Coturnix japonica: one gene and its partners. The protein of the gene in region 1 interacts with the protein of each later gene in a pairwise test. Links are inferred from orthologs where the notes say so. Each region holds a gene or a part of one and is shown in the gene's direction. Other genes may lie near its edges.

Evidence for each region.
Region 2: the proteins of NME7 (region 1) and LNX1 interact in binary tests that used the Homo sapiens proteins (3 or more experiments, as listed by UniProt). The link is inferred for Coturnix japonica from reciprocal best matches to the Homo sapiens genes NME7 and LNX1.
Region 3: the proteins of NME7 (region 1) and KRT18 interact in binary tests that used the Homo sapiens proteins (3 or more experiments, as listed by UniProt). The two-hybrid records come from large-scale screens. The link is inferred for Coturnix japonica from reciprocal best matches to the Homo sapiens genes NME7 and KRT18.

The regions. Positions count from the first base shown.
Region 1 is NC_029516.1:74,987,309-74,990,954, forward strand, and holds part of NME7 (nucleoside diphosphate kinase 7), read left to right. Parts: intron 1-2,025; coding exon 2,026-2,131; intron 2,132-3,646. UniProt on the Homo sapiens protein: Possesses an intrinsic kinase activity. Displays 3'-5' exonuclease activity with a preference for single-stranded DNA. Does not seem to have nucleoside diphosphate kinase activity.
Region 2 is NC_029519.1:59,244,824-59,248,969, forward strand, and holds the start of LNX1 (E3 ubiquitin-protein ligase LNX), read left to right. Parts: upstream 1-1,218; 5' UTR 1,219-1,366; exon of another isoform or gene 1,367-1,378; intron 1,379-4,146.
Region 3 is NC_029544.1:1,109,477-1,113,734, reverse strand, and holds the start of KRT18 (keratin, type I cytoskeletal 18), read left to right. Parts: upstream 1-1,330; 5' UTR 1,331-1,386; coding exon 1,387-1,818; intron 1,819-2,902; coding exon 2,903-2,985; intron 2,986-3,344; coding exon 3,345-3,501; intron 3,502-3,759; coding exon 3,760-3,924; intron 3,925-4,258. Other genes in the region: KRT8 (keratin, type II cytoskeletal 8), read right to left, coding at 1,252-1,330. UniProt on the Homo sapiens protein: Involved in the uptake of thrombin-antithrombin complexes by hepatic cells. When phosphorylated, plays a role in filament reorganization. Involved in the delivery of mutated CFTR to the plasma membrane.

The DNA.
Region 1 (3,646 bases):
GTGGAAGTGGTACCTATCTAGAAAGAGTTTGGATAAAGTTGAATTTTTATAAAGGAGAATTTCAGTCAGAAAAGTCTTTAATTCTGGCAGTTGACCAATGTCTTTGTGCTCAAATGGGGAGGTTTCTCTTCGTTTGTGTGCTGCAGTTACTGTTGTGCCAGCTTTTTGCCTGAGAGTGTAGGAGACAGTATCTATTAACGTAAGATTCTGACTATAAATTTAATTATTTGCTTTGGTTTAAGTTGGTAGCTCTTTTTACATTTCAGCAGTTTGAAGGCTCTGCTCATCTGTGGTATTTTTATGACCAACATTATTATATTGCTGAACTTTGGCAGATGTAGGCATCCTTGTGGTGTTACCAATACCCATCTCTGGTAAGATAACTGAAATTGTGAATTTAATAGGCCTCTACCTACTTTAATGTAGTAGGTGCAGAACTATATATTTGTATAGCAGCTGGAAACTAGTTGGTTGCAGTTAGAACAGGACATTGCAGTGACAAATGAAAGTAGGCCTCTGGTGTACTTCTAAGGTTATTTCTCTTTCTGCAGGACCATTTTTAATTTTTTTTTTTTCATATTAGGCATAAATAAAAAATACTTTCTTTTTAAAACATCACTTGAATTTTGTTTAGCATTTCATTATCCTTCAGCATTATTTAGACACTTTTCTCTTCTGGCATTTAATGGACCAAAGAAAGTGTTAGATGCTTTAAGTACCTTGCTAACTTTTCCTGGCTACTGCTTTTAGAGTGAACATTAGTTAACAGAATGGGACAAGGTCAAAGAGGGATGCAGCATGTCCTCAGAAGAAGGGTGCAGGAAACTAACACTCATGAGCACTCAAGATGGGCATTGTTTGCTAGGTGGGAAAAAACACAGAAAACAAAAACACTTCGCCTTCCTTCCTGTTGAATGATCCCTGAGTGAGAACTGTGTAATTGTTCAAGTCAGGATTACAGGAATTGCCAGAATAAAGTGAGGAGAAGATTGAGAAATAGTTAAGTTTATTCTGTCTGAACTGAGCTAGTAAATTAAATGAGACAATGCCAGGAAATGGCCTTCAGCGCTGTTAGTGTTACACATGAAAAAAAAAAATTAGATGGATTTGGTAGAAGTATCTCCAGGTTATTATTATTTCCCTTAAATAGAAATTCATCAATTCTCTTACTTAATTTGACCAATAGGTCTTAAATGGAATCTGCATTTCGAGCATTTGACTAATGTTTATTGGCAGATTGTGTAAGCTATGTGAATAAATGGTATGGAAAAAGCATGAAGCTGGCAGTGAGCAATAAAAATAAATAAATAAAATCACTGAGGAAAGAAGCTTGTGTGTCCAGCTTACTGTGGTCTAAGACCAAATAGTGATGGAAGGAGGAAAGGAAGTAATGGGAAACAAAGAGGCAAAGAGGTTCTTCTGATTCTTCTCAGAAATTAGGGTAACTGAGCCCATCTTCCATTCACTAAGGCTGAAGGGGGGAAAAAAGAAAAGAGGGGTAGGAGTCCATAAGTCATGAGAGTGGAGCCAACAATTTTAGGCGAAGGTTTTTTAATACAAAAGGGGGAAAAAAAGGTTGTAAATGAGTGGGATGGAGATTGGTTTTTGTATCAGGGAAAGCTGGGTGCTCATTGTGTTATTGCTTAAGTGGAGGAAAACATGTTGTGAAAAGAGAGAAGCTAAAAATCTGTACATGGAAGTAGACCTGGGAAAAATACTGAGGAAAGGGAATTTAGAAATCTGGGGATACTTCATCTGCCAAATGATTGTGGCTGAATGGAAATAGATTGTATTGTGAAAGCAGAAAGGGAAATTACAAGAAATATTCAAATGAAGTTTTTATGATGGCAGCAGTGTTGCCAGGGTTGGAAAGATGTGTAGAATATTGTAGGGGAGATGTATTTGTAGCACAAAAATCAATAGTTTTCTGTAACTATGAGTACTTCAGATGTCGTTACTTAGGATGGAAGCTTATGCATGCAGCTAGATAAAAACTAAAGTGAATTCAATTACAATTGTTTTCAGGAGCTGGAGTTCTTCTTTCCCTCCAGTGGAGGTCACGGACCAGCCAACAGCGCAAAGTTCACAAACTGTACTTGCTGCATTATTAAGCCTCATGCAGTTAATGAAGGTAAGGAATATGAATAGTGGAGGTAAAAGAAAATTATGCTTTGTTCTGTTTCATGGTCATTCTTATGCTTTTTTTTTTTGTGTGTGTGAAAATGTGAAATAGTAGGAACACAGAGTATTTAATTGTACTTGCAAGAGTATGCAAATCCTTTTCCATACACCTTTAGTATTTCTTCAATTTACTTTCATGGGTTGTGTGCTGTGTGGATAATTTTAATTTCAGAATAAACAGTAAGAGACTGGAAAAAGAAATACAAAAAATTATAAATGAGATTAATTTAATCTCATTTAAGCTGTGATAACTGTATCCTTACTCCTATCTGTCTACAACACTCTAGTGGAGGTTAGCTTCCTCATGGCAGGGTGAAAGCAGGACACCTGGTTGTGTTACAAGGTCTTCCATTTACGCAGTAACATATTACATTAGAACTTCTTACAAAGGGACATTTTTTTCCCATACATGAATCTTGTTCTGCTGATTGCTGTGGGGATGGAAAGTAGTAAACATTTGTAGGACTCCATAGTTCTTTCTGTGCTGGAGCATATCCTGCAAGTTTACTGTATGAGCATTAGACAAGTGTAATGCCCAATTGTTACCCTGCTGAAATAACCTTGCTTTTGTAACATGTACTTAGAAACAGGAGCATGTGTAAGAGCAGTAGTAAGCGCAGTAAAATATTTCAGTTCTGGCATCTCAACAATATTTCTGAGTGTGAAATAAATATTGTCAAGTGAGCATGTCTAGACTTTTCTTGGTCAGATGCAGCACACTAGTCATGTCTCTATGGACAACTAAGATGGAGACAGCAGAAGAAATGGCCATAGGTTTCCAGACCTTTCACACCTGAAATAGGAGACTTCAGGCAGACTTCTTTGTGATAGGATTGTTAGTGTCCTTAATTGTTCAAAATTGCAAAAAAGCTGGAGTGGTTCCAGCCAACAGTTAGAAACGAGTGAAATCCATCTTCACAAAGGCTGCAGGAACTCTTCCCAGCAGTCCAAGAGTGTCACAGGGAGAAAGATTTGGTTATCTTTGCCTCCTTCTGTAGTCCTTACTCTTGTTCTCCTCTTTAGTCTGTTGCAGAGTGGCAACACCTGCTATGCTTGGTCCTTCTTCCCCATAGAGATTGTTTTGGAGTCAGGTAGAAGCATGCTGAAAGAATCTGGGTGACCCATTCATGTGAATGTGGCCCTGCTCATCTTATCTGTCTTCTAACAGCTATTAGTAACTGTGTTTGGTGATACCTGAGACCATCTGTTTGTGCCAGCAACATCTTCTGTAGCTCAATTAGAGTAGGTGCTATAGCAACTAATGAGCTTCCCTTCAGGTAAAATTGCTGGTAGGAGACTGTGTGGTATAAAAAAAATAAGCAACTTACTTTCCCTTTCTCCCCACTTGTGGACAACAAAACAGCAAAACAGTTGTCCACTCCTGTTTTGTTTTTGTTTCCTGGCAGGGAGAATGTAAGGTAAAATATAGCATCTGGAGAGAGATAAAAACCCATGTAGCCATCAG
Region 2 (4,146 bases), on another chromosome or scaffold:
AGCTCAATATTACAGAAAGCCCATGCTGGGGCTTGCATATCTGGCCTTGTGACTTCTGTGGGAATCTAGATCCTGTGCATACAGTCTCTCTCCAAACTGTACCCATTGCAGGGGCAGAGCAGTGCCTAGACTCCAGCATGGGCTTTGGGTGGTAATGTACCAAGCACCGTGGGATGGCTTGATACACCCCTTCTGCATCTCCATGAGCAGCCTGGAGCAGAGGTGCTGTGATGGGCAAGAAAGCAAAGGCTGAGAGCATGACTATCTTGTGAAGTCCTACCAGCATGCAATTCTTGATGATTTCCTAAGTATTTAGTAAGGGATGTTGTAATCACAATTAGCAAGTATGCTCTTAACATTCTTGAAGGGAAACAAATTTTGCATAGAATGAGTTGAAGACCTGGTAGCTGTAGATGTTTATATGGGAGGCTGGAGGTTTTCTTCTGGCTGTCTTAAGTGTACTCTGTGGTTGCCTCCAAGTCTGTCTCCAAAGTTGTCTTGCTTCCTTCCTTAAGAGAAAATGCTCATGATTGCTTAAGTCATTGTGTTTATTTGTGATTCATGTAGCTGGAGCATTAGGGTTTATTTTCCTCCACTGGAGTTACTTTTTGAACTGAAGAGCACTTTGATGATGCTGCTGCCATCATAACTGTCATTCACAGGCAGCTCAGGTATCTGCACATCTTATCCCTTTCTTCATTGTTATTTTCCTTGGAAATCACTGGTTAAGAGGACTTAAAGTAGTCTTTGTTTCCTGATGTTCAGATAATTACCACAGCTTGTATTTCTAGCAGCTGATTTCCTAGTTCTCAAATTGCTCTGATATGGTTCCCTGCTCCTCAGCTGACCACCCCAGGTGTATGGGAACAAGGTGGAGTTGCAGCTGGTAAAACACTGGGATGGGCCCTGCCTCAGAGCTCACAAGCCTCATCCTCCTGCTCTGGGGGAAAGCCAAGTCTTCTGTTTTAAACAACTTTTTAAGAGAGTTTACTGGTCCAAGTTCAATCTGATTGTAAAGCTGAAAGAAGAAAGGAAACACAAAGCAAAGCCAAACTGAAAATGGACTTTGGCGTATGCCGGAAGTAAAAGCCAAAGCTTCAAGTTACGTTGTTGTCTGAGCAGCCTGCACATGCTCATGTTGCCTGCAGGAGAAATAACTGGAAGGGTGTGGTTCTCTAAACCTTGAATTGCTCAGGTGTGTGCACTTCAACTTTTATTTTGCCTCCTGACATGCTGTGGGCTGCTCTGTGTGACACAGCTGGTGGCTGCTCTGCTGTAGGGATGGGGCCCTATTGCCAAAATACAGTGACAGTGCATCAGTGGGACTCTGCCAGCAGCCAGCACAAGGCACAGCCAGGCCAGACACGTGAGTTTCAAGGTTTGCATTTCTTTTTAACTGATATTCTCACTTACAACCTACCAGAGAAGCAAACGGGTAAGGACATACTTGGGCAAAACAAACTTTATTTGGTATCTTCTGTTCACCTTCTCCTCTACTTATTTATACTCAGTTCTTAATGAGTTCTGTTTTCATTCAGTACTGGTATGTGCAGTGGTTGCAAAACTGAGTATGTGTGAGTATATGTCATCTCACAAAAGTTTCATCTGTACGGATGAGCCTGATCCTTTTTGTCAAAACAAGGTCCATGTACAGACATGGCAACACAGAGGTCAGGACTGCTGTGAAGATGCACAGACATCCTCGCACCCTGAAGGAGATACTTAAAGTACTTCACAGGTTTAAAGCGAAGCACATTTTGAGTGTTTTTAATTAATAGCTGCTGGGTACTTAAACATCTACCAAACAAAAACACAACTCGGGGAAAGTGTTCACATTGGATTGGTAATTCACACTTTTCCCATATGCCTGACACAAGAACAGGGCTCGACCAACAGCAGGAAAGGCAGGAGCAGGTGAATGTTCTGGTCAATATATAATGCGGATGTTTCTTCACAGTCTGCTACTGAAATAGATTAGAGCACACAATCTCTGTTTGTTACACCCCCCTCTCCCCTCCCCAACCAGACTTGTTTTCATTTGTTCATTCAGTGGGACACAAAACAAAAGCAAGGTATCTTTGCCACTTTATCAAAGCAGCATGATCTATTGTCTCCTGTTGCTAGGAAAGAACAGAAATTATCTTTAACTAAATTTGCCATCAGGCATTTTGAAAGATGCTGCCTCGCAAGGACTGGTATCCTCAGTTCTTCAATCCAGTTTTCTGAGACTGAGAGCTTCCTCTCAAGGAAGCAATCTGTTACTAATTTACTATTTTATACTCTTCCACCCAGACCTCAGAGGCTGTGTGTATTTTCCAAAAGTATAAATTGAATCAGTCTGGGGAATCTTGACTCTTCAGTATCCTTTTCTTGCCACCTGAAAATACTCTTCCTTCTGCTTCTAATTAATGTTACTTTTCTGTAGTCCTGTACAAGTGTCCCCCAGTCCCTCACGAGAGCTCTGCTTTTTGGAAGGAGGTTCCAAGCCTGTGTGTCTGAGTATTAACTGCATCAGGACTTCACTGTAGCACAGACTTGGAAGGCAGAATGTCACTGGCTCCAAACTGCGATTGTCTATCACAAGAAGAAATTGATTTGTCTTTTGGAAGAGGTTTGAAGGGGCTGGCATCTTACCCCTGAATAACTTTTCTTGTGCAAAATGCAAATAAATCTTGCATGCAGAATGAGATGACAGATTAGCCTCATTTTGCTGCAGACTAGGAAATCAGGCAGTATTGTTTCCAGCAGGAAGGTAAATCTCTGAAGGCTTTCCAGATGCTGGCTGCTGAAGGGCTGCAGCCAGTTATTTCTGAAGCCCTCAACTCTGCAAGCTGGCCTGGGGCAGGCAGAGGCTGCAGCTCTTTTTGAGGGGCTGTCTCTGCAGCCAAAGCTTGTGAGATGTATTCCCTCTCGAGTTAAAATGGACAGACACTTGTGTCAAGTGAGATTGCTGGTTTTGCAGTTGTTTGAGATGCAAATCCACCTCTTCCACTGGTATTTTTGCTCCTAGAACCTGGGAGGTGCGACAACTGACTTTCCCCAGGCTTTCCCTAAAGCCTTCAGCTGTGTGTTTAAGGAAGGTCATTGCACAAATCCTATGATTTGAGGGAACCAAGCTTGGAAGCAGAAAGTTTCTCTTTTGGTAAACATTCAGGGAATGGTTCATAGGCAGCTTAGGTCAGGTGCAGCTGCCTCTGGCTGCACGCTGCTGCCGTTCCTCTCAATAAACATCAGTTACTGCTTGACAAGGAAATCGATGAACTAAATACCCTGAAATTTCCTACCCATTTAGCAGTCCCTGGCAACACTCTCCTCCGTCCTTTGGTTTCACTTTAACGTACCTTTACCATTCTTCTTAAAACAAAGAGAATTAATAAAACAATAGTTTGCATGCACCAACAACTCCTTACTAAGAGGTGACAGCTACTTCTCTGCCTGGATTAATGCATTTTTTTTTTCAGAAAATGCAGCCGCTTAAAGGAAGAAATTCAAATCAGACAAAATTCCCCTGTCTGTGTGCACATAGCAGATCACATCTGAGCATGTGGTGCACACTGGCAGGAAGCAGGACAGCTTGAGCATGTAATGCCTAATGGGTTTCTCATCACAGGAGTAAGCAGCACACAATCTCACACCCATCAGACTGGTTCTGGATGCGGATGATAATTTGGCTGCATAATTAATGATCTTCTGCAGCTAGTGCCGCTCTCCTGTCCTGGCTGATAAAACCTTTGTGAGCCTCTTCGTTTCAAGGAGAATGTTAAAAGACCATCAGCAGTATGTTTGTTAATTAGTGTGGACTTTAGGTCAAAGTTTTCACAAAGCTCCAATTAAAGCAGCAATGACTCGAAACCAGTGAGCAGTACCGTACACAGGGTTGCTGCTTCCCAGCACTGAGCAGATGAGGCAGAAGCAGGCTCCAGAGGATGTGATGGTAACCGAGAGCCCAGACACTGTCATAAACAAACTTTATTCACTGATACTTTTGTTGAACAGAGATCTTAGTCATTGTCCTGACTCATGAGAGCTGGACAGAGCTGCTCCTATTGCCCGAATACTTCTTGTTCCCCCAGTCCTTCCCACATGGGTGTCAGCTATAAGCTGTAGTACATAGCTTGCTCCCAGAGGAGGAGCAGGCTCTGTTGT
Region 3 (4,258 bases), on another chromosome or scaffold:
TCTTCCCCCACCCAGCCCTTGTGTGTCACCCTGAGGTCCCCACCTCAATATTCCCCTCTCCCCCCCCCCGCCCCCCCATTGATCCTGGTGACCCTTTGTTGTCCTCCCAGGGTGGGGGTTGGGGCAACGTTTTTGGGTGGGGGCCAAAGCTCTGTGCCTGCCTTTGTTTGCACTGGGCTGGGCTGGGCTTTGGTGACGGGGACAGCGCTGATGGGCTGGTGGCCCCCACGTCACCATCACCACCTGCCACCCCCCCCTCTTCCACCCATGGGTGCTACAGCACCCAAACACAGATGGAGGTTGTGGTGTGCCAGGGGGGGAATCTTGGGGTGGGTCCACTGGGGGCTTCAGGTGGCACTTTGGGGGCTCAGAGTGACACTATGGGGTTTTAAGGTGACATTCTGGGGGCTCAAGGTGGCATTTTGGGGTCTCCAGGTGGCACTTAGGGGGCTCAGGGTGACACCTTGGGGACTTGAGGTGGCACTATGAGGACCAAAGGTTACACTATGGAGCTTCAGGTGACATTATGGGGGCTTCAGGTGACATTATGGGGGCTTCAGGTGCCACTTTGGGGTCATGATGTGACACCCTAAGGGTTTCAGGTGGCTTTTGAGGGCTCAAAGTGACATCTCGGGGGCTTCAGGTGGCACTTAGGGGGCTGAGGGTGCCACCATAGGGACCTGAGGTGGCACTGTGGGGTTGTGAGGTGTCATCTTGGGGCCCATTTTTGCAGCTCTCCCCTTCCCCCCTTCGTCCTTGTGTGCTCAGCGATGGGGTGATAAGGGCGGAATGCGGCGCTGATGCATCTCTGAGCCAGGAGATAAGGGAGCGGGGGGGAGAAGGGGGAGGGTGTCCAGCGGGATCATGGGGGTAGAGGATGGGGTGCCCAAGGAAACCCCAGAGTGCCCACAAAGTGGCCCCAAAGTGGCCCCAAGGAGACCCCAAAGTGCCCCCTAATGTGTCCCCAAAGTGTCCCTGTGGAGTCCTAAGTGTCTCCAAAGAGACCCCAATGTGTCCCCAAGGTGTTCCTAAGGTGTCCATAAAAGTACCCCCAAAGTGTCACCAAGGACACCAGTGGGGTCCCCCTAAATATATGAGGCTGAGTCCTGGTGCCCCACATTGTACATTAATGAGCTGCATCCCTGTAGGGCAGTGGGGCCATGGGGCCGAGCCCTGGCCGCACACTCCCTGGTCCCCCCCTACATTCCCCCCTCCCCTTGCCATTCTCAAAGGCACGGGATCCGGCCGCACCTTCTGGGTATCGGCTTAGGGCCAACGGCTCTTTGGGGCCGCCTCCTGTCTGGCCCTCCCTATAAAACCCCACCGCCATCCATCCAACCGTCCGCTCGTCCATCTGTCCGTCCATCCATCCATCCATCCTTCGCCATGAGCTTCTCCCGCAGCACCACTTTCTCCACCTCATCCCGCACCGGGAGCATCCGTCGCCCCGTGCCCCATAGCAGCGCTGCCAGCGTCTACGCTGGAGCCGGGGGGTCAGGGTCACGCATCTCCATCACCCGCACCGCCAGCACCTATGGGGGCGGCTATGGGGGTGGCTATGGGGCAAGCTATGGGGCTGGCTATGGGGCAGGCTATGGGGGAGGCTTGCTGCTGTCGGGGTCTGGGATGGTGCAGAATGAGAAGGAGACGATGCAGGACCTGAACGAGCGTTTGGCCACGTACCTGGATAAGGTGCGTAGCTTGGAGAACAACAACCGGCGCCTGGAGGCACAGATTAGGGAGAGCCTGGCCAAGAGGGGGCCCAGCACCCGAGACTGGGGGAACTACTGGGACACCATCCAGCAACTGCGTGATAAGGTGAGGGGGGGATGGGGTGGGAGTGGGGTTGGGATTGGATTAGGATGGGAAGAGGAATGGGAATGGGGTTGGATTAGGGTTGGAATGGGAATAGGGTTGGAATGGGAATGGGGTTGGATTAGGATAGGGAGGGGTTGGGGTAGAAATGGGAGTAGGAATGGGAATGGAGCTGGGTTTGGGATGGGGATGGGAATGGGAATGGGAATAGGAATGGGATTGTGTTAGGATGGGGACAGGGTGGAATGGGAATGGGTTGTGGTTGGGGTTTGGATAGCGTGGAGTTGAGGTAGGAATGGGGATGGGATTGGGGTTGGGTTAGGATGAAGATGGGATGGGAATGGGAATGGGGTTGGGTTAGGATGGAAATGGGGTGAGCAGATGTTAGGATGGTATGGATGTTAGTAGGAGTTAGGATAGAGTGGGTTGAGGTTGAGAATGGGGTGTCTGTGGAGTTGGGGTTAGGATGGGGTGAGGGTGGGATGAAGATGGGGTTGGGGTTGGGATGGGGTGGGGTTGGGGATGAGAATGGGAATGGGGCTGGGGTTAGGATGGGGTGGGGTTGGGGATGGGGATGGTGTTGGGTTGAGTTCATTCGGGGTGGGGATGGGGTTGGGGTGGGAAGGGGGTAGGTTGGGGCACTGACATCACATCCCCTGGGCCCCATCAGTGTGCCCCACATTCTGGCACCTCATCCCCAGGGCTCTGCCAGCAGTTGTTCTGGGGTTAATCATTAACCCACATGGTGTTGGGAAGGGGTGGACTTCGCACCCGGAGCTGAGCCAGGGAGAAACGGTCCTGTGGGGTGGGGACGGTGTGGGGCACCCAGTGGGGACACCACGTGGGGCCGTGGCCAAGCCCATGGGGGCCGAGGGAGGGGGGTTACTTAATGCTCCTTTGTTAAGCAGACAAGCCCCACAGCCAGAGTCACCCTATAGTATAGTGGGGTCACCCCTTCCTGAAGTCACATGGGGACGGGAATGGGGACAGGGATGGGGACAAGGACATGGACAGGGGCACACAGAGGGGAAGGAGGGGAATCTGCTGGTGGGTTCTCACACCCTGTGACCCCAAACTGGCCCCACAGATCTACGACAGCGCGGTGGAGAACGCCCGCACTGTGCTGCAGATCGACAACGCGCGGCTGGCGGCCGATGACTTCAGGGTGAAGTGAGTGAGACAGGGACAGCAGGGGGGGGAGGTCGGGGTGGGGGCATGAATGGGGATAGGACTGGGATTGGGATGGGGTGGGAACAGGGACGGGAATGGGATGAGGATATAAATGGGAACTGGGATGGGAATGGTGGGAAAAGGTGGGATGGGATGGGATGGGATGGGATGGGATGGGATGGGATGGGATGGGATGGAGATGGGATGGGGATGGGATGGGAGGGCGTGGAGGGATGGATGGATGGGTGGGATGGATGATGGGAGGGATGGGAATGGAATGGATGGGATGGCATGCGGGATGGGGATTGGAGGGGTGGATGGGATGGGATGGGATGGGATGGGATAATGGTGCCACACAGGTACGAGGCAGAGCTGGCCATCCGTACGTCGGTGGAGAGCGACATTGCGGGGCTGCGCAAGGTGCTGGATGACACCAACATGGCACGGCTGCAGCTGGAGGGGGAGATCGAGGCACTGCGCGAGGAGCTCATCTTCATGAAGAAGAACCACGAGGAGGTGGGGAGGGATGGCAGCAGGGACACATCAAGAACATATCAAAGACACATCAAGGACACATCGGGGACACACTGAGAACACATTGGAGACACACTGAGGACGTGGTGGGGATGCATTAGGGACACAGTGGGGACACATCTGGTATACATTGAGAACACATCATGGGCACATCAAGGACACAATGGGGACACCTGGAATACATCACGGAATCATTGGGGACACATCAGAGACAAACCAGGACCTGTTGTCCCCTGGCAGGAGGTGAACGCGCTGCAGAGCCAGGCAGCATCTGCGGGGCTGACGGTGGAGGTGGACGCACCGCAGGCGCAGGACCTGGGCCAGGCACTGGCAGAACTGAGGGCGCAATACGACGCGTTGGCCAAGAAGAACCTGGAGGAGCTGGAGAAGCAGTGGGGGCAGCAGGTGGTCCTACAGTCCTAAGGGGTCTTTGGGGTCTTTCAAGGGGTCTTTGGGGTGTTCCAATAGTCCTCAGGGTGTACCTATAGTTCTTGGGGTGTTCTGGTGGTCTTTGGGGTCTTAAAAGGAGTCTTTGGGGGCATTCCTATAGTCTTTAGGGTGTTCCAAGGGTCTTTGGGGTCTTTCAAGGCGGTCTTTGGGGTGTTTCTATAGTCCTCTGGGTGTTCTAATGGCCCTTGGGGTGTTCCGGTGGTCTTTGGGGTCTTTCAAAGGGGTCTTTGGGGGTGTTCCTATAATCCTTGGGGTGGTCTGTAGGGTGTCCCAGTGGCCCTCTGAGTGT